Arabidopsis thaliana: one gene and its partners. The protein of the gene in region 1 interacts with the protein of each later gene in a pairwise test. Each region holds a gene or a part of one and is shown in the gene's direction. Other genes may lie near its edges. The genes, in order: bZIP, AT2G13960, AT3G16160 and AT4G25410.

Region 1 (4,088 bases):
AACCGTTCGGTTATTTTTGTATTTATATAATTTCAAAATAAATATTAACATATGGGTTAAATCTTTAATTTATTAATATTTATCTCATAAATTTATGGTATATTTTCACTTAATAATAAATATAAACTATAAAATATAAATTTTATAAATAAATATAATTTACAAATTTTTATATAAACTAATTTTTAAAATAAATTGTCATGCGGTGTACCGCGGATTAAAATCTAGTTGGTTGTTTATCACAACAAGTTGTTGTATGACAAAGCTTCAAAATATAAATTCTCATAAAACTACTTGGGTTTTATTTTGAAGAATCATAGATAATACTTTTCTATGAGTTTGTGCCAAAAAAAAGTAATGTCTTCATTACTTTATGCTTGGTAAGTTAAACCAATGCTTTTAAAACTGATATATTTTTGGCACTAGACGATTTCACATCATAGGAGGAATTGCTAGTAATATCCTCTTGGACATTGATATGAACCCGAAAGTTGTAGATCGTGGAATAGCCAAAACGGACAAAACAAGAGTAGCTGGAAACTAGTAAAAGACAAGCAAGAAATCTCTACCACTAGAGTTTCACATTATAATATTTGCTTTCTAATCAATAAAACCATAATGGTCCATAACATCAGCAAAATAAGTGTTTCATTGTGAGTATGTGATACGTCACTTGAAGCTTTAATTGACTTTCATTAGTTACCCCTTGGAGCAGCTAATGGATTAATTCGCTTAATTGTCATAGAAAAGTATTTTCTCTTCTTACATAAATTATGAATAACAGGGCTATATTTTGATGTTATTGGATGAATCCTTATTCTATAGCAAAATAGTTAGCCGATTAACATCTAGATGGCTAAAATTGTCTTATTAAGATAATTCAACATGTCATTATAATATGAACAGACTCGTTTGCAATTTGATGCGTCTCGCACTCTCGAGTTTTTCAAACATTCATCTATATATGTTTGATACCATCACGCCACTAAGATGATTGGCTTTAAGTGGATCTAGGAAACTTCTTTACTAGCAGAAAACATCAATATTCTAATCCTTACTTTAGATAAAATATTATTTATAACTGCTACTAAAAATTACCGCCTAATAAAGCAAATTTAACCAATCTGATACCCCAACCCCAAGTGACATTCACTCTAAATGGTGAAGGTAAATACCAATATATTTAGAGTATTTATCCAAAAAAAAAATTGCCAATATATTTCATCCCAGCTATAAGATATTATTTTCATTCACTAGACTTTATTTGACTTGGTAAAAACATGTTACCTAATGCAAAATTTCTAAAAGCACATTTTAGCTATCCGACCACAACTCTCGCAATTAGGCTTCAGGAACTATAGTAGTTTTTGGTAAAATTTCTTCATTGTCAACTCTTTAACACTATAAATTATGTACAAGGACTAAAGTCACTTTATGCTACATCATTACCCACAAATTTCATAAACCATTGGATTATCGAATAATTACGTATATAAAAAAAATAAAGTACGCTCTTAAAAAAATTAGATATGGTTGCTCGAAAAGAAACATGGTGCGTCGACGAGTCGCTACCTCTCACGCTTTCTTTGAATAATTTATAATATAGTCTTTGATTTTCTCCGCAATGGTCCCCTTCATGCCATCTACTTACTTTCACCTTTCAAGTGCTTCATGACTCATCAATCTCACGATTAGAACTTCTCTTTTTCTTCTCCTTCTATTTTATTAAAATTTACGTATGCTTCAGCCACTTGGATTAGTTATTAGTGTAAGGTAACACTACTTTCGATTTATTCATCTATAAAAACCAAAATTAGAGTGCATTTCATTGATCTATACCATCATACTTGTCAACAAAAATTTTCTTAAAGAACGCATAACTGTTTTTTTCATGGCTGGTTCTGTCTATAACCTTCCAAGTCAAAACCCTAATCCACAGTCTTTATTCCAAATCTTTGTTGATCGAGTACCACTTTCAAACTTGCCTGCCACGTCAGACGACTCTAGCCGGACTGCAGAAGATAATGAGAGGAAGCGGAGAAGGAAGGTATCGAACCGCGAGTCAGCTCGGAGATCGCGTATGCGGAAACAGCGTCACATGGAAGAACTGTGGTCCATGCTTGTTCAACTCATCAATAAGAACAAATCTCTAGTCGATGAGCTAAGCCAAGCCAGGGAATGTTACGAGAAGGTTATAGAAGAGAACATGAAACTTCGAGAGGAAAACTCCAAGTCGAGGAAGATGATTGGTGAGATCGGGCTTAATAGGTTTCTTAGCGTAGAGGCCGATCAGATCTGGACCTTCTAATCGTCTCGTAAGCTTGTTGGTTTTTTGTTGTTTATTTAAAGAAGAGGACCAAGGTATACAAACATCTCAAATGAATCTATAACAATATAATCAAATATATTTTACCAAAAATATAACCTAAAGAGAGTGTTCTTTAGATCTCAGGTTCGAATTTTGTCATTGGGGGTGTTCAGGGGACTTTGCTCTGTTTTGAATTTCGGACCTATGGTCCAAAACTTTTTGGTTACAAAAAAATAAAAACTATATATTTTCATGTTCTAATAAATAAACAGGTCCATATCGATGTATGCATCATCTTTGTCTCTTTCGAAATGTTCTTGATCCCTGTCTGAACTTGTTACGGGTCTATAAACCAAATATTTCCAAAAGAAAGTGTTCATATATAATCTGACAAGTCTTTATCTACTAACGATATTTAGATTCGGCTCAATCAACGACTATTGTAAAATTTCTAAAACAATAGTCAAATCATTTATCACATTCCCATAAACTGACTCAATTTTATCCAAAGCCAAAACATTAATTATATCCTTATCACTATAGTTTTAAAAACCGTCGTCAAATAATTTATCATACTCCCATAAATTGATTTAGTTTTATTCAAAGCTTGACAAACTATATCCTTATTATTATGATATTACCATAAAATAATTTGACCATAATAATTTGGCATGGACATTCAGTTTTTCTGTTTAGTTTGGTTTAGGCTTTTTGGTTTAGTACAATGAATTTTGAAAATAAGTATCAAATAAAAGCAAATTTTAATTCGGTTTAGTCCAAGTTTAGGTTCAGTTCGAATTTGGATAAAAAAAGTTTCGGTTTTGTTTTGTATTTCTGTATTTTAAAAGAATTAGTTCAAGGTGTCGTAAATTTGAGTTTATCACGTAACGTGGTGGCAATGCATTCTGTTTCACCATTTCCAAAGGCAATTGCTATGCCATTCTGTTTCACCCTCTTATAATAGTTCCATTATCCAAACCATTTCTAAAACTAAAGAATCTGAAGATGATGGGCATAATGAGCATTCAAACGGCGATGGATCTTATCGTCGCCGGTGTCTCTCTAATGATCGGATTTGGATTCTTTGCTCTCATTGCCTCTGTCCTCTGCTCCGTCGCTTTCTTCCACCACGTCAAAGCCGCAACTCCCATCTCCACCGCTTTAACTTCTCACCGGAGATATATAGATTCGTAAGAGACGTTCGCTTTATGTATAAGTTATAAGTATAACCCCTTTTTACATGGATCCAGTCACGTTAAAACCGGAACTGGTCAATGACTTCGTTGCTTTCTATAAAATAGTACGATATTCGATATTTATACAAGTAATTAAATATTTGAGTCTATATCTATATTGTTTCATGGAACGTTTAACTTTGTCTTTCAGCACATCGAGAGGAGAAGAGAAACTCTCACCAAGGCCTCACTAGTTTAACTTGTACGAGGAATGTGTAGTGTGAAAAATTGTAATCAAGAATCAATACATATAAAGTTACACGTTACTAATGTAGCATTATTTACATGCCCATGCATGCATGACCAATTTTTTCCAATGATATTTGCATGACCAATTTCAGAGTGTCACTTATATAAGTATATATAAGTGACGAAAACACCTTTTTTATTGTAGTGAATATACATTATTTCTTCTTGCTAATTGTGAATTTTGTTTTCATAAGACTGCGAATGCCAATAACAGAGGAGACTGAAGCTTCTCTCTATTTCTATTTTTTTTTATATGTACGAAGTAACTCACTATAGTTGCTATTGAACAAGCATAT
Region 2 (4,858 bases), on another chromosome or scaffold:
CAAAAAGATCCGGAGGCTAATTCTGATGACCAAGGCTTTGTCCTGTTCGATATTTCCCCTCACTTCCCCAGCGCTGATCCACAAGTCCACTATATGCTTGATTCTCACAACCGCGGTCTTATCTGTAAGCTCCCTGTTGTCCCTCTCTTTTGGTGCAACAATAAAGAACCTAATGGTGCCGACTTCTGTTGTAGTGCATGCAAACTCACAAATCTTGGCACAGCCTACTATTTTTGTGCCACATGTCGTAAGAAGTTCCACAAAGAATGTGTGGAGTCTCCACTTGAAATCAAACACCCTTCCTATCCCTTTCAATCTCTCCAACTTTATAGTTCTCCCTTTGCTCTTGTGAATTGCATATGTTGTGATATAAGTTTCCAAGACATTATTTATCATTCTTCTAATCACAAACTGAGTATGCATCCTGTTTGTGCGATGAAACCAGTACCCATTTTTATAGACCACACAAAAAGACATCCCCACCCTCTCACTTTTTCCCCTAGGGAAGCTTTCTTACCTTGCAATGTTTGCGGCCTGATTAAAGAATCTATTCTCACCTATGTTTGTGTTCCATGTGACTTTGTAGTCCATCAAGATTGTCTATATTTCACGCATGTCATAAAAATATCTCGTCACCACCACCGTATCATTTTTACCTCTTCTCTTCCATATGGAAAATGGTCTTGCGGAGTCTGTCGTAGGGAGGTTGACAATCATTATGGTGCTTACTCTTGCATCAAGTGTGGTGATTATTTTGTTCATACAAGATGTGCATTGCGAAAAGATGTGTGGAATGGAGAAGATCTCGAGGGAGTACCTGAAGAACCTGAGATAGATGTTGAGCCATACGAGACGATAGCTGATGGAATTATACTCCATTTTTCTCATGACCATCATCTAAAACTCGAGATCAATAGAGTTTACGATGAAAACAAGTTTTGTCAAGCGTGCATCCTTCCAATCTATGAGGGTACGTACTATTCATGTTTGGATAAATGTGAATTCATCCTACATGAAGCATGCGTTAATGCCCCTAGAAAGAAACACCATCCGTTGCATACTCACCCGCTTACGCTTAAGGTCGTCAGTATTGGATACGATCATTACAGAAGAAGAGGAAATTACTTCGACTGTGGTGCTTGTAAGCGTGCAAGTTGTGGTTTTGTCTATGATAGTCAGGATTTCTCACTTGATTTGCGGTGTGCCTCTATTTCCGAACCATTTCAATATCAAGGCCACAAGCATCCCTTATTTCTAGCCTTAGAGCCAGATGAAGAAAAAGCGGCGATATGTCAAATTTGCCAAGAAGATGGTGATGGAAATAACTATATTAGAAAACTAAATTGCATGGAATGCAAGTATATTATTTGTTTCAGGTGTGCTACATTGCCATACAAGGCAAAGTACAAGCATGACAAACATTTCCTCACATTTCGGGAAGGGGAAGAGGGAAGTGATCAATTAGACTGGTGTGAGGTATGCGAAAAGAAATTAATATACTCAAGAAAAGGTGGGTTCTATGCGTGTGATGACTGTTGCACCACTCTCCATGTTGATTGTTTGCTTGGGGAGATGAGTGTATGTTGAAACCTGGTCATACTGTAATGACTTATAGGTCAAACATTCATATTCTTCCCAACAATACCATGACTCGACCTTTCTGCCATCGTCATAAAGAAGATCGTTGTCCACACAAAGTAATTTTCAAATGACATGAAATGACATTTTGCTCTTACAGTTGTTCGATGGATTAAATGTCATCATCGCCGGTGCTTCGTCGTTTACTTCTAGATCTCTACTTTTCTAGTTCCCCATTTGCTTCATCTTCTTGTTGTCTGGTTGTTTACGTTTTATCAAACCACGAATTAAACTCGTTGTTTTCGTTTCTATTCGAAAGAATATTATAATTAGCCCAGTCACATAAATAAATTTTGTAAAAAACACATGTTTCTCGATTCATTTAACCGGTTTATTCCAAACCGACTCGAAAGAACTATAAGAAAAACATTTGAGTCGGTTTTGAATAAACCGGCCGGTGCCAGGTTAACGGCGGTTAGCAGTTATGTCGGCGGAAGAAGTATTCGTTACAATATTTGTTTTAATCCCAATTAGTCTCCTTCTCCTTTCTCTCTGCTCTCTCGTTCAACGGGCAAAGTTTTTTTCGAATAAAGTTTTGGTTTTTCTTTTAACGTTCCCTTCTTCTTCCTCCTCCTCGCGAATTCGCTTATCTGTCGATCACGATGAGCTCAAGTTCGAATCCACCGGTTTGTTCACCGGAAAAGGTCAGATTTTTCCCTGAAATCTGATTAGGGCTTTTCATTTCTTGTGATCAGATTGTTATCTTCGCCTACTTTGGTGTGAGTTCATGGGTTTTAGGTCTGAATCGGAACACGTTTTAACGTGTCTTGGAACAGGGTCTGAATTGGTTTCTAATGATTAGGATTGTATAAACCCTAAACATCCATCTTGTGCTTGAAAGAAATCGACTCGTTTTTTTTGGTGAGATCTGGCTTCTATTTTGCGGCCGTTGAGTTTTTAGGGTTTTGTGAGTTTTGATTAATTATTTGTATAAAGATACGTTCTTGTTCATTTTGTGCTCAATCCATGTTTTTAACGAAAATTCTGGATTTTGGTGATTTTCATGGGGTTTTAGGAGGAAAGAAGTGAAATGAAGATTGAGATTCAATGTATGGAGAATAAGCAACCATTAGCTGCTTCTTGCTCCTCTGCATCCGAAGGCAGTGGCTGTTTCTTCCTCAAGTCACCTGAAATCGCAACTCCTGCCACAGTATCTTCATTTCCTCGGTACTTTTACTATCTTTTACATTTCATCTTCTATCTGTGTGTTTATACAACTTATTATGAAATTGATTGATTGGAAAGACTGTGCTTTGATGACTTACACCGAACTCATTTTGGGTTTCTGCAATGTTTTAATGTTGATCTGCAGGAGGACTAGTGGACCTATGAGACGAGCAAAAGGTGGTTGGACTCCAGAGGAGGTTAGTGGTTGCTTTTGTTTCATTATTTTGTTGGTGTCTGGAGCAACCTCATTCGACTATGTATCTTGTATGTATAAGGATTACTGTTCACTTGAATGAAAGAGGAGGCTAGCATTATTGTGGTCTGTAATTGGTTTCTATCACTATTCAGGATGAGACACTTAGACGAGCAGTTGAAAAGTATAAGGGGAAGAGGTGGAAGAAAATAGGTAAATTTCTTTTCTTGAATCTGTTTCCTGAAAAAGTAGTATTGCAATACATTAGAATGAGATTATAGGTCTTCTAATCACACTCTTGTATGTATACTTGAATGTATAATTTATACATTTTTAAAACTGAACTCGTATCTTAAATCTGCTGAGAATTTTGTGAATTTTTCTCATTCAGTAAACATGATCTCTGCTGTGCACTGTGCAAGAGAACCATGATTTCTTTTTTGTCTCTTAAATGTTAAAGTAGCTGGTTTCGGTCAATGTTCTGTTTGTTTGATTTTTTTGTATTTCATCTTACAGCGGAATTTTTCCCAGAGAGAACACAAGTCCAATGCTTGCACAGGTGGCAGAAAGTTCTTAATCCAGAGCTTGTTAAAGGACCTTGGACTCAAGAGGTTCTCTTATCATTTTCATGTTCTGAAACTTTTTTTGGTTTTCATTTTACGTAAATATTTGGTAGCTCTAAAATTCTCTTCAACAAGTTTACAGTGGCTCCATCGTTGAATCCATCTGTGTACATATGATCCGTTGTCTGTGTATATTAATATGGGAAAAATGTCGAAAAAATCATGAACTTGCAATTTTTGGACGATTTAATCTTGAACTTCAAGGAAGACTAATAAATCGTAAAGTTATTGTTAACTTTCTATATAAATGACGAAGTTTCTGTTGACTTGTCTATTTAGTCACGTCGTTAAATAGGTTTAATAGAATCGATTACGACGTTAATACTCCCGTTTAGCTGCTCTGTTAGAATAAAACGACGTCGTTTCTTTCTCAGACAAAGCGAGATAAAACAACGTCGTTTTATCTGTTACCCAATTTTAATCCCTAAAATCCCTAAATCAAATCGACATCTCTCTTTCTTCTCTTCTCAAACTCGACATCTCTCTTATCAATTTCTCTGTTCGATCGAAATGGCTAAAACTCGTGGGGGGGAAGAGAAGAGATCCGGTTCGTCGATCACGGAGACTGAGTCAAGCATCCGCCGAATCAAATCCTACTGAAGCTGAACCAATTTTAATTCCTTCTGTCGACGAGGCTAATCGAAAGAAAAGAAAAAGGAAGAAGGTAGTTGAAGTAGATATTGAGGAAGATCGTGAGCCTGTGAGTGGCGATGATTGTGAGGTTGTTGGTGACGAAGATTGCGAAGAGGTTTGCTATGCAGACAAGAGAATCGGGAATAACGAAGAACATGGTGGAGAGGAACAATGGGACATTGACATTGTTTCTGTTCAGCAAGAAGACGATAGAAGTGCTGTCGGGGAAGAAGGAAACGTTGCAGCTGGGGTTGAGGAAGAAGGAAACGATGGAGGTGGTGTTGGGGAAGAAGAAAACAATGGAGTTGGGGTCGAGGAAGAAGAAATCAATGAAGTTGGAGCTGTAGGTGTGGAAGAAGCACACGTTGGACAAGATGTTGAAGAAGAAGACGACGATGGAGGTCTAGGTGTGGAAGAAGAAGATTGTGAAGATTTTGAAGCAGAATTTGGAGCACAGGCGAGAGAGGAGGAAGACGAAAGCGATGGTGACAGTGGTGACGATATCTGGGATGACGAGAAGATTCCAGAACCAGTGTACCATAGTGATGATGAAGAAGTTCATGACGCCAGAATTTGACGATCCTGAAAAGCTTTTGAGGTTGGG
Region 3 (5,199 bases), on another chromosome or scaffold:
GAGGTAAGGTGGCAAAAATTAAAAGAGCAGCCTTCATTATAAGTTCACCATCTCAAGTATATTCAAAAACTTACCTAGAAACTTTCCTTCTGCTTCAAAACTGTCATCCTGAAACTGATTGCAAGCAACAGTTTCCGAAGTTGAGTTAACAACAGGAGGAATAAGATGAAATCGAGCACCACTCTTTGCTGCGATGGTTTTCATAGTTTCACTATGGTCCTCTGTGCTCAATAACAGAGATATATCCTAGAAACCGAAGACAACGAGGTTAGATCCCAAGAAAATGTTAATCATTTTTTCTCGAGAGTAAAAAGAGCATAAGGCACACTTATTTTGTGAAACTTGAATGTGGTAGAAAACAGAGCAAACCAGAAAACTTCTGCCTTTTAGAATATTTTCTACTTTGTTCTACAGAGTACCCTTTTTAGTCTATGGAAAAAGACCTAATGCTAGAAAAACCAAGAGCTTGGATCAAAATTCTGAGATCACAAAAATAAGATCAAGAATACCTAACAATTGAGCCGAAATTAAAGCACAAGGAAATAGGAAGGCAAGTAGATTCCATACCGAATCATTCATGACATGTAAGAGTTCAGCCTCAGGATAGCTGAGTGCAAGTGGAACCGCTACACCACCGCTAAACCATGTCCCCAGGACTCCTGCAACAAACTCAGCTGAAGGTTTTGCCACAATTCCGATTCTAGCTCCTTTTAGACTACCAAACCCTTCATACTTCTTAGTTTCTTGACCTCCCTACGAAATTTATAGAAGACAAAAAAAGTCAATAACCATAAAGCTGTAAACAAACTGTGTGATAGCTTCAAGTAGTAGATATAGTAGCTACAATTTCAAACCAAAAACCATACATTTGTCGTATCATCTTTTAAGAACAATTTAGATATCCTCAAAGCAGACGATGTTAGCTGGCCATAAGAGTAACTCTTTCCATCGGCTTTAATCGCAATCCTATCACAAGAATTAGACGCTTCTGAAAAAGCTGCTTTAAACACTTCCATGAGTGAACCAGACTGTGAAGCTGCAACATTTTGATTACATAGATAAAATTCAGATTAATATATAGAAACTACATGTACAAAAAAAGAACAGATTGAGTTCCTTGGAGATGCTGCAAAATTTTCAATATAAATTCAGATCAAAACAACAACTTGTTCAGGTTTTTACGGATCATCAATGTTACTATATGGAAAGCACGAATCTTTAAGACATTTCGTCGAACATGTAACATGCAAAAACCAAACAAAGGTAAAGAAGAAAACTTACAGAAGAGATGGTTAGATTGGAAGAATCGAAACCCAGAATTGGAAAACGAAGTAGAAGCTGGGTGGGATCGAGGAAGAAGAGGAGAGGAGAGAATAGCGTAGGAGTTGTGGTTGAGTCGATGGTTAATTAAAGACAAGTAGTTGAAACTCTTTAATGTTGTCGTAGCGGTCATTTTTAGGTCTGGTTCGTTAAAAGGTTTCGACTTTTTTCGCAAGTCGTACAGTCAAATTACGTAGCCGTTCTTCTTAGGTGGTGGTTGCAATCGCCAAAAGAGAGCCTTCGTGTCGATCATGAAATAGCGACTGAAGCGTTTGGCGACTTTGATTCAGTGGAGAGTTTGGCACGTGGCGTGTTTTGATGATTAAAAGTGAGTGACAGGCGATAATGGGTTATTCTTTAATGACGCTTTATTAGGCATTTTTTTAAGGTTAATTACTGATTTGCTTTTTCTCATTTATTTGTGTTGTGAATTTCTTTCTAAGTATATTTACACAAAATTAAAGACCATCTGAATATTGCATTTTGAGTGATGTGATCCTGACCGTTGATGAATAACAATTGTGGTTAGCTAACATCTTATACATATGCTTTGATATGCATTGATTTTATTATTGTGAAGTTTTGAACTCTAGAGGAAGATTCTATTTAATGCCAACATGCAATTAATAACTTTTTTTTTATCAGTACCTTTTAAAGGGAGTGTACATCTTAGGTCTCCGGTTTGAGCATTGGAGAAGACTAATTTTGTTATATTAAATTATTAATCATGAAATTAGATTTCTTTAATCCAACTCCATCTTCGTCATCAACACATCATCATTCCCTCCAAGATCACTCTCTCTCGCTTTTGAATACCTTCGCGTTGTTCACAGAACCTTTTTGTTTCTTAGAAAACCCCTTGGAGCTGGCCAAAAAAAAAATCGAGAGAGAGACAATCATTCATCGTTCCGAATTAGGATCCAGCATTCCATTTTTGTTCTGATATCTGTCAGCCATGGCGACTCTCCGATACACTGATCTGATCTGATCTATGAATCGACGCTTCTCTGAGGATTCCTCACCGTTCATGCTCTAATCGGTTCGCCAAATTGAGGAACTAACTTGTGTGGCGACTATAATGTGTCAAGGACCGATATGACAGGAAACGCAGATTCCGGCAAAATCGCGACAGAGAAAGACCCTAGGAAGCTCGTTTTCACCAAATTGGAGGTATCTCCCGTCTTCCGAGAATCTCCTGTTAAAGAACTTCCTCTTTTTCCTCCGATTTCTCGGTATTGTTCCAGTTTCTCTGCCAATTTTCACTAGAGATGCTTCTCGTTTGAGTAATTTCAATCCAAAATCTACTCTCTGATCTCCACTGGTCTTGATTTTGAAGCAGAGAGCATTCAGAAGCAAAGGATAAGACAGATGAAGAAGGCATTACTTCGAGGAAACACAAAGGATGTCGATGCAAGCAGTCCAAATGTTTAAAGTTGTAAGTTCATTTCAGGATCCAAGAATTACTTAGTGTTAAGCTGATAGAGATTTGAGTATAATGTTGAATAGTGAGATTTCTATTATCTGCTGTAGATTGATGCATTATTGGATATTTGTTTGACGCTTGGTTATTAGGTACTGTGACTGTTTTGCATCAGGAGTGGTATGTACAGACTGTGATTGTGTTGATTGTCATAACAACTCTGAGAAATGTGATGCTAGAGAAGCAGCTATGGTGAATGTACTAGGTCGCAACCCAAATGCCTTCAGTGAAAAGGCTTTAGGTAGCCTAACTGATAATCAGGTATGTTCTTGACACCTATCACTTTTGTAGGTTAAGCTTCAAAGAGGTATATTTCACATCCTTTTTCATTTGTAAGTATCTGGGATGTTCTGTGTTTTGTATTGTAGTGTAAGGCTGCACCTGATACTAAACCTGGACTGCTTTCGAGAGGCTGCAAATGTAAAAGAACCAGGTGTTTGAAGAAGTACTGTGAGTGCTTTCAGGCTAATCTTCTGTGCTCAGACAACTGTAAATGCATCAACTGCAAGAATGTTAGTGAAGCGTTCCAGCCTCCTGCATTTTCTGCTCACAATTCCCCACAAGTATACCGGAGGAGAAGAGACCGAGAGCTAACTGAGGCAAGTGAAATATACTACTTGCTTCATAACATATATGCACTTTTGGGTTTATCTCCATAAAACTCATTTTTCTGTCCGGAATAGCAGTGGAATTCTTGTCCAGCTCCGTTATTTTCGATACCTGACAATTCCATTCAAAATGCTCTGGGTTCCCCTATGTCTTGCTCTCCTAAACTTCCTTACAGGTTCGATTTTGCATTTCCTAAAATGATAGTTCATCTTCCTTCACCTCATAATCATAAATATTTTAACTGAATTTTCATTGTGCTACTAGAAAGAAAAGGTCCCTCATGGGATACACCTCTACACTTCTTCCGGACTTGGGAGATTTATGCTCACTTCTCGTTGCAGCGTCAGAATCTGCTACAACAACTGCAGGTATATCTGTAGTCTCTTACAAAATCTACACTTTACTGGATCTACTATTCCTTTGGCTTCATCAACATACTTCCTTTAAAATCTCACTTAGAGGACCAGAACAGGATATTTACAAAGCCTGATGATAAGGAAGCCATTGAGCTGTCAAGTGAGTCTGAGAGTCGTAATGTGGAAGAAGAAATACAATCACGTGGAAGATTGATCGAACTGATAGATGTTCAATACAATGGAGAAGAGGATTCCCAATGTAAGACCAAGACAAGTGTCAATGAAACAGATATATACATGGAGCAGGAAAGGGCAGTGCTTGAAACTTTCAGAGACTGTCTCCAAAAGTTCATCAAATCGAGACTGGAATCATAACAGGTAATAATTCCATCTCATTTTGATAATCCCTCCATCCTCAAATAAATCCAATTACTGCACTTTTTTGTTGCTATTTATGACAGGTAAGGTTCATACAAGAAACAGAGAGCTGAACCATAGTTTCTTGATTAGGCATGGAGCTGAGACAGATCAACAATTTTAAACACGAACTAACCATTTGAAACCGCATTAAACACAAATCAATATAGGACTGGTGATAACGACATAACTAAATTTACTCCTCCAGCTTTATGATAATGAATAACCAAATTAATAGAGCGATGACTGATTAAATACTAGTAAGACATTTTCTTAATCTAAAATATTTCTCACTCCCAAATAGCAACCTCCATGAATCCATCCTCAGTTGCACATCCCCTGAACATCCCATTAGAGTTAAAACCACAAACCACCTCTCCTTTATTCGAGACAGCAATGAGTCCAGCGAACCCTTCGTCAAGTCGATGCTTGATGACGTAATCAACCGCTTCTTGGAGGTTAAGTCCTTTATACTCCATAACAGCTGACACATCACGAGCTAGGGTTGCTCTTATAATGGCTTCTCCTTCTCCGGTACACGACACACCACAAAACTCCGACGCATACGTCCCGGCTCCTATCAGCGGCGAGTCACCAATCCTTCCCATCATCTTGTTCATTAAACCACCCGTGGATGTCCCGGCGGCACAATGTCCTTTCCCGTCAACCACAACGCACCCGACTGTCTCCGGTGCGTAAATGCTGATCGGAAGACCGTTCATTTGGATTGGACTGTCGGTCGCAGCTGCACCGGCACATCCCATCGGCGGAATCCGGTAATCAAACTGGTGAGAAAGCAAAAAAAAAGAAAAAGTTGAGGATACAAAATAAAGAAAAACGTACGATGAATAAATGGACGGTGGAGATTTAAGTCAAAAACGTACCAAGATGGAGTTAGCTTCCTTGGCCAACTTGAGCATTCCTACGTTGTCGTCCGTGACAAAGTACTCGTTGTCCACAATTTCAACTCCCTTCTCATTAAACCGGCTTCGGTCAGAAGATTTATCTAACCAAGTG
Region 4 (4,833 bases), on another chromosome or scaffold:
AAGTTCATCATAAATTTTGATGACCCTAATAAATAATATAGCGTCAATATAGAGAACTTAGCTGGAGATATATTGTAAATATGTTGTTGTAACGATCTATTACGAATAACTATTGAAATACAATACAATTATTTAAAAGAGCAATATATAATTGTATAATTTACCACATCATTAGGATACTTCGCCCCAAACACATATTTTAATTCGTTTGAACGAACTTAAATAAAAAAAATAAAAAAAATCATTGGTTAAAACTTTTTATTGCAGAAATAATTGGTTGTTACTGTAGAAATAGCGGCTTCTATTCGCAACCGTCAGATATACAAGTCTAAAGAGATGTCTTTAGTTTAGTCGTGACTCCTACAAGGCATGTGTGTACGATCGCCTGATAGGGAATAATTTAACTTTGCATAATCCATATTTTCCGACAATCATCGAGTTGACATGATTCGACATTTGGTCATACACGTAAATATAACAACGTGCTTCTAATTTTAATTTTATAAGATTAAAACTATCAGATAGTACTTTTTGGGATATAGGAAAAATGCATCTCATGTAATAAAACTATAGCAGAAACGTGTCTTAAAAATAATTTACATAATAAATAGTTAACTTGTTTTATCATGACTATAATATGCAAACATTATTGCGGTTGTACGCATGTAATAATATTACTGTATATAAACTGTTATATACCAGCTCTTATAACTTTAAAACTCTATCCATTTTCTTAACGTAATGTATAGTATAAGTGAATGAAATTTTTCTCTTTTTACAAATTTATCTGGTTTATAAAAGTTGCTAATATCAGGCATAATATGGCTTATGGCGTATATTGAGCATATCAGCATACAACACACATCCCTAAAGAAAAGACTTTGGTCAAACATCCAACGAGATTATCTTTTATAGTATAGTGGCTCTTAATATGCGTATATACATATATATAAAAAACAAGGGATTCGTGACAGAGAAGAAGGATTTGCTTTGCCTTGAAAGGATAACCTTTACCAAAAGGATTATTTTTTAATAATGGAAACTGTGGAGGGATGTCATGGTTTTTATATTCAAAGCATATTATATTGAAATAGTATCTTCTTAAGAACAGTATATCTTTAGCATTATATATCTGATACGCAATGGATATGGACGTTTAATAAACATGTGAAAAGACTAGTTGCAGTGTGAGCAGGTGCAAATAAAAAGAAAGGATCGGAGCCCACATGCGACCATCGCAACATCATCAACGGTTGAGATTTGAGGTTTTGTTTTCATGTATCCGAATCTTAAGACATGGTTGCACTTTCACGTCGACATTTGTCAAATAGTTATATTCTCCAGTTCCTCCTAGTTGTATGAGAATATAATTTTGTTTTAGAGAAAATGTGCATTATGGTTTTTTTTTTTTTCCAACAGTTTGCGTTTTAGATACTAATTCTGTATTTCATGGAAAGAGATGGATTCGCAATGGTATTTCACATAAAGGAAATTTTGTGTTGGATGATGGTATGACAAAAGCTGTTTGGAGGGTATAAATTATTAAGTTGACATTAATTTCAAAAATTTATAATTATGTGTTTTAATTCTCTTAATTAAATAAACTGTAGAGGATTTTATTTTGTTATGTATATATATTGACTATAAGTTGTATTCTACTAGTTTGTTACAAATCAAGCCCGAGGCTCATCCCATAAATGAAATAAAAAAAAACTGATAACTATTTCAATTTTATTTAAAAAAAAAAAAAGAGTAATTCCGTAACCTGCATTATTTGGTCCTCCTACTGTGTATCTATTTAATATTTAAATAATGGTCCTCCCTCTCACCTAAGGAGACATAGAGAACCATCTGGTTCTTTAAGGCACCATCATTCAACAAGTAAACAATAAAGGAAATTAAATTATCACAAGACAGAACCACAAAATCCTTTGGAGATCTGACACTGGTAAAGCTCAAAGTGTCAAACTATGGATCCTTATAAGAATCTTAATCCAAAAGGTTACCAGAGACAGAGACCGTTTAGCTCAGCCGGCGAGAGTGGCGGCAGCGGCGGCTCCGGTACGGCCCATGAAACAGATGACAATAAGAAGAAGAAGAAGCTTCTCCACCGCGACATCGAACGCCAAAGAAGACAAGAAATGGCTACACTCTTTGCTACTCTTCGTACTCACTTACCTCTTAAATACATCAAGGTTCATATTCTTAATTACTCACTCTTTTCTCTCAAATTTATTTACTTTTTCGTTATATCAATTGTTCGAAGAAACCAAGATTTGGTGAGATTTGGCTGCTAGGGTTGTGAATATGTCGTTTTTTGTATTTAATTTAGTTTTGTATTTAATCTTTATTTATAGGGAAAAAGAGCTGTGTCGGATCATGTAAATGGAGCGGTAAATTTCATTAAGGACACGGAAGCACGGATTAAAGAACTTAGTGCAAGAAGAGACGAGTTAAGTAGAGAAACCGGCCAAGGATATAAATCGAATCCGGATCCAGGAAAAACTGGATCCGATGTAGGCAAATCGGAGCCGGCGACTGTGATGGTGCAACCACACGTGAGCGGTTTAGAAGTGGTAGTGAGCAGCAACTCCTCAGGCCCCGAAGCTTTGCCACTATCAAAAGTGCTCGAGACAATTCAGGAGAAAGGGCTTGAAGTCATGAGCTCCTTCACTACAAGAGTCAATGATAGGCTCATGCACACTATTCAAGTAGAGGTATGGTTGGTTACAACATGTCAACATGCCATGTCAATGGAAGTTAATCTAGGGTTTCATTACATTTAACTATATTCAATACAGGTTAATAGTTTCGGATGCATAGACTTATTATGGTTGCAGCAGAAGCTAGTTGAGGATTTGATACTTTCGACGGGGTACTAATCATGCAGAAACATACCATTCGTAGTCCTAAAGAACTTCCTCATCGTATGATCTCTTTTACCCGAGCTCTTCATTCGTTATATGAGCTTAGCTAAATAGAAACTCATTTCCAAATTATTGTCCTTTTTAGATGTGGTATTGAAGCCTTGCATGTTAGTGGATATAAAACAGTATTTTTTGTAGATATCATATGTTTGTTGCTCCAATTATTGTTTTCTTGTTCATGAACTTATATATACTTAGAAGTTAAGAACTAATGTGAAAGTCATATATAATTATAAACACTAGAATTTCACATGGTTCTAGTTCATATATCAATGGAAGACTAATATTAGCAATGTTCGATATGGTGTATTTTTGTTCATGTGTTTTACAACATTATAACTATGGTTGATGTTCTAATGAACTAATCTCACCGTATACTTGATGCAGAAAAAATCAAAGTCTTCTTGAAATTTCGTTATGAGAGCAAGGTGCATAGGTGTTAAAGTTCATTCATGGATTGAGGTGTAGCTTTGGTTTAAACAAGTTCAAGTGACTTCATGGGGTAGATCATAACTTCACCATGATTCGCCGCCGTAAAGACCAAGGGTCTGATGTTTTCAGTAGAGATTTTTTTTTTCTCACGGGCAAGCCATTTTTTTGTTTCCCTTTCATTATAACATTTTGTATCACTCCATTGTTAGGTTTTCTTGGGTTTTCTCGTATGGAAAATAAGTTTTTCTGTAATACATATCCATGAATCATTTAGACCTGTATTAGAAGGAAAATCCGGAAGGGCATAGTAAAATAAAGGCCAATACAATAGCATAATATATATATATCGCCTAGTTCTAACCAGATAAGTATGAAGCAAGGGTAGGTGAGAACCATCTTTTGGGCTCTATAATAGTCAGAATCTGCTAGGTTGTTTCTAGCCTACTATTCTCTACGCTATCAGTACCACATTGGTGAATTAGATTTCGATATTTTATGTGAATTGTTCACACATAAAACTGCGAAAATTGAGAAGTAACATAACTGTTATCTCTACGATATATATCAAAGATGAGAGACTATATATGAAGTAGTAGCACTAACCTCGATACAACCAATCCTTTGGGCGATTCGAAAGTGGTAAAATAGAAGTTCCAAATAACTAACAGATGGTAATACTAACCAGTAACCACACAATAAAAGATCGTTTGAATGTACGTGCATGAGTTGATAACCCTAACACAAATAAACATACATACAAATGCCATCACTATTTTGAAATTTTAAATAACTATTTAATTCATAAGCACAAGGCCTCACATCATCAAATGAGTAAATGACATAGCAAATGTGAAGTCAGACAAATTATTTATACAAGATTATGATATTTAATTACGATATTTTTTTCGGAAATAAGAAGCATATTACAAAATTGCCATAGATAAAAGCCTAAGATTCAATGCAGAGAACCACCTTTCTATTTTTAAATCTTGAATTTGCAAAATCTCACTTTCTTTTGTAGTTCACGATACGACACAGTATTATACATATCCCCAGAATCTTGGTTTCTTTTCTTTTCATACGTACCCATAAGCATATGAACAGATCGACCACATATTATTTAATAAAATCTCATTACTTTAGATCTAAATAGTCACTTTAATTAATACATGTCACGAACTTAAGCGAAGTTGACAGTAGTTCAAATGTTTTAAGAGATACGCATGATGAGTGGTTAAGATCTCACTAATATTCGTTTGATATCTTATATCATTATTGGTAATTTAATTAATTATCAACTAGGAGTCTTATTTTTTAATTTAAATGTGTGGTTGTTAAAAAATGTTTTTTTAAATCAAAACTTGAGATGCCGTCCAACAAATTCATGATCTTCAAATCGGATAGTGTTCCGATAAAGAAAATCCCAGACGATATATTAATGAGAATTAATAATATTTAAACCCATATTATTTCC

Evidence for each region.
Region 2: the proteins of bZIP (region 1) and AT2G13960 interact in a two-hybrid assay, tested with the Arabidopsis thaliana proteins (one large-scale study listed by BioGRID).
Region 3: the proteins of bZIP (region 1) and AT3G16160 interact in a two-hybrid assay, tested with the Arabidopsis thaliana proteins (one large-scale study listed by BioGRID).
Region 4: the proteins of bZIP (region 1) and AT4G25410 interact in a two-hybrid assay, tested with the Arabidopsis thaliana proteins (one large-scale study listed by BioGRID).

The regions. Positions count from the first base shown.
Region 1 is NC_003070.9:25,892,719-25,896,806, reverse strand, and holds bZIP (basic leucine-zipper 8), read left to right. Parts: upstream 1-1,750; 5' UTR 1,751-1,891; coding exon 1,892-2,308; 3' UTR 2,309-2,836; downstream 2,837-4,088. Other genes in the region: AT1G68877 (chaperonin 60 subunit beta), read left to right, coding at 3,314-3,502.
Region 2 is NC_003071.7:5,857,443-5,862,300, forward strand, and holds AT2G13960 (Homeodomain-like superfamily protein), read left to right. Parts: upstream 1-2,048; 5' UTR 2,049-2,240; coding exon 2,241-2,282; intron 2,283-2,653; coding exon 2,654-2,805; intron 2,806-2,861; coding exon of another isoform or gene 2,862-2,950; coding exon 2,951-3,002; coding exon of another isoform or gene 3,003-3,101; exon of another isoform or gene 3,102-3,153; coding exon 3,154-3,211; intron 3,212-3,514; coding exon 3,515-3,663; 3' UTR 3,664-3,869; downstream 3,870-4,858. Other genes in the region: AT2G13950 (Cysteine/Histidine-rich C1 domain family protein), read left to right, coding at 94-1,578, 1,739-1,807.
Region 3 is NC_003074.8:5,472,307-5,477,505, reverse strand, and holds AT3G16160 (Tesmin/TSO1-like CXC domain-containing protein), read left to right. Parts: upstream 1-2,158; 5' UTR 2,159-2,415; coding exon 2,416-2,552; intron 2,553-2,659; coding exon 2,660-2,755; intron 2,756-2,892; coding exon 2,893-3,061; intron 3,062-3,168; coding exon 3,169-3,399; intron 3,400-3,486; coding exon 3,487-3,584; intron 3,585-3,673; coding exon 3,674-3,777; intron 3,778-3,868; coding exon 3,869-4,140; downstream 4,141-5,199. Other genes in the region: AAE13 (AMP-dependent synthetase and ligase family protein), read right to left, coding at 75-246, 568-753, 867-1,036, 1,282-1,453; ASPGB1 (N-terminal nucleophile aminohydrolases (Ntn hydrolases) superfamily protein), read right to left, coding at 4,473-4,967, 5,067-5,153. UniProt on the Arabidopsis thaliana protein: Plays a role in development of both male and female reproductive tissues.
Region 4 is NC_003075.7:12,983,802-12,988,634, forward strand, and holds AT4G25410 (basic helix-loop-helix (bHLH) DNA-binding superfamily protein), read left to right. Parts: upstream 1-1,859; 5' UTR 1,860-1,970; coding exon 1,971-2,195; intron 2,196-2,357; coding exon 2,358-2,717; intron 2,718-2,801; coding exon 2,802-2,882; 3' UTR 2,883-2,927; intron 2,928-3,314; 3' UTR 3,315-3,720; downstream 3,721-4,833.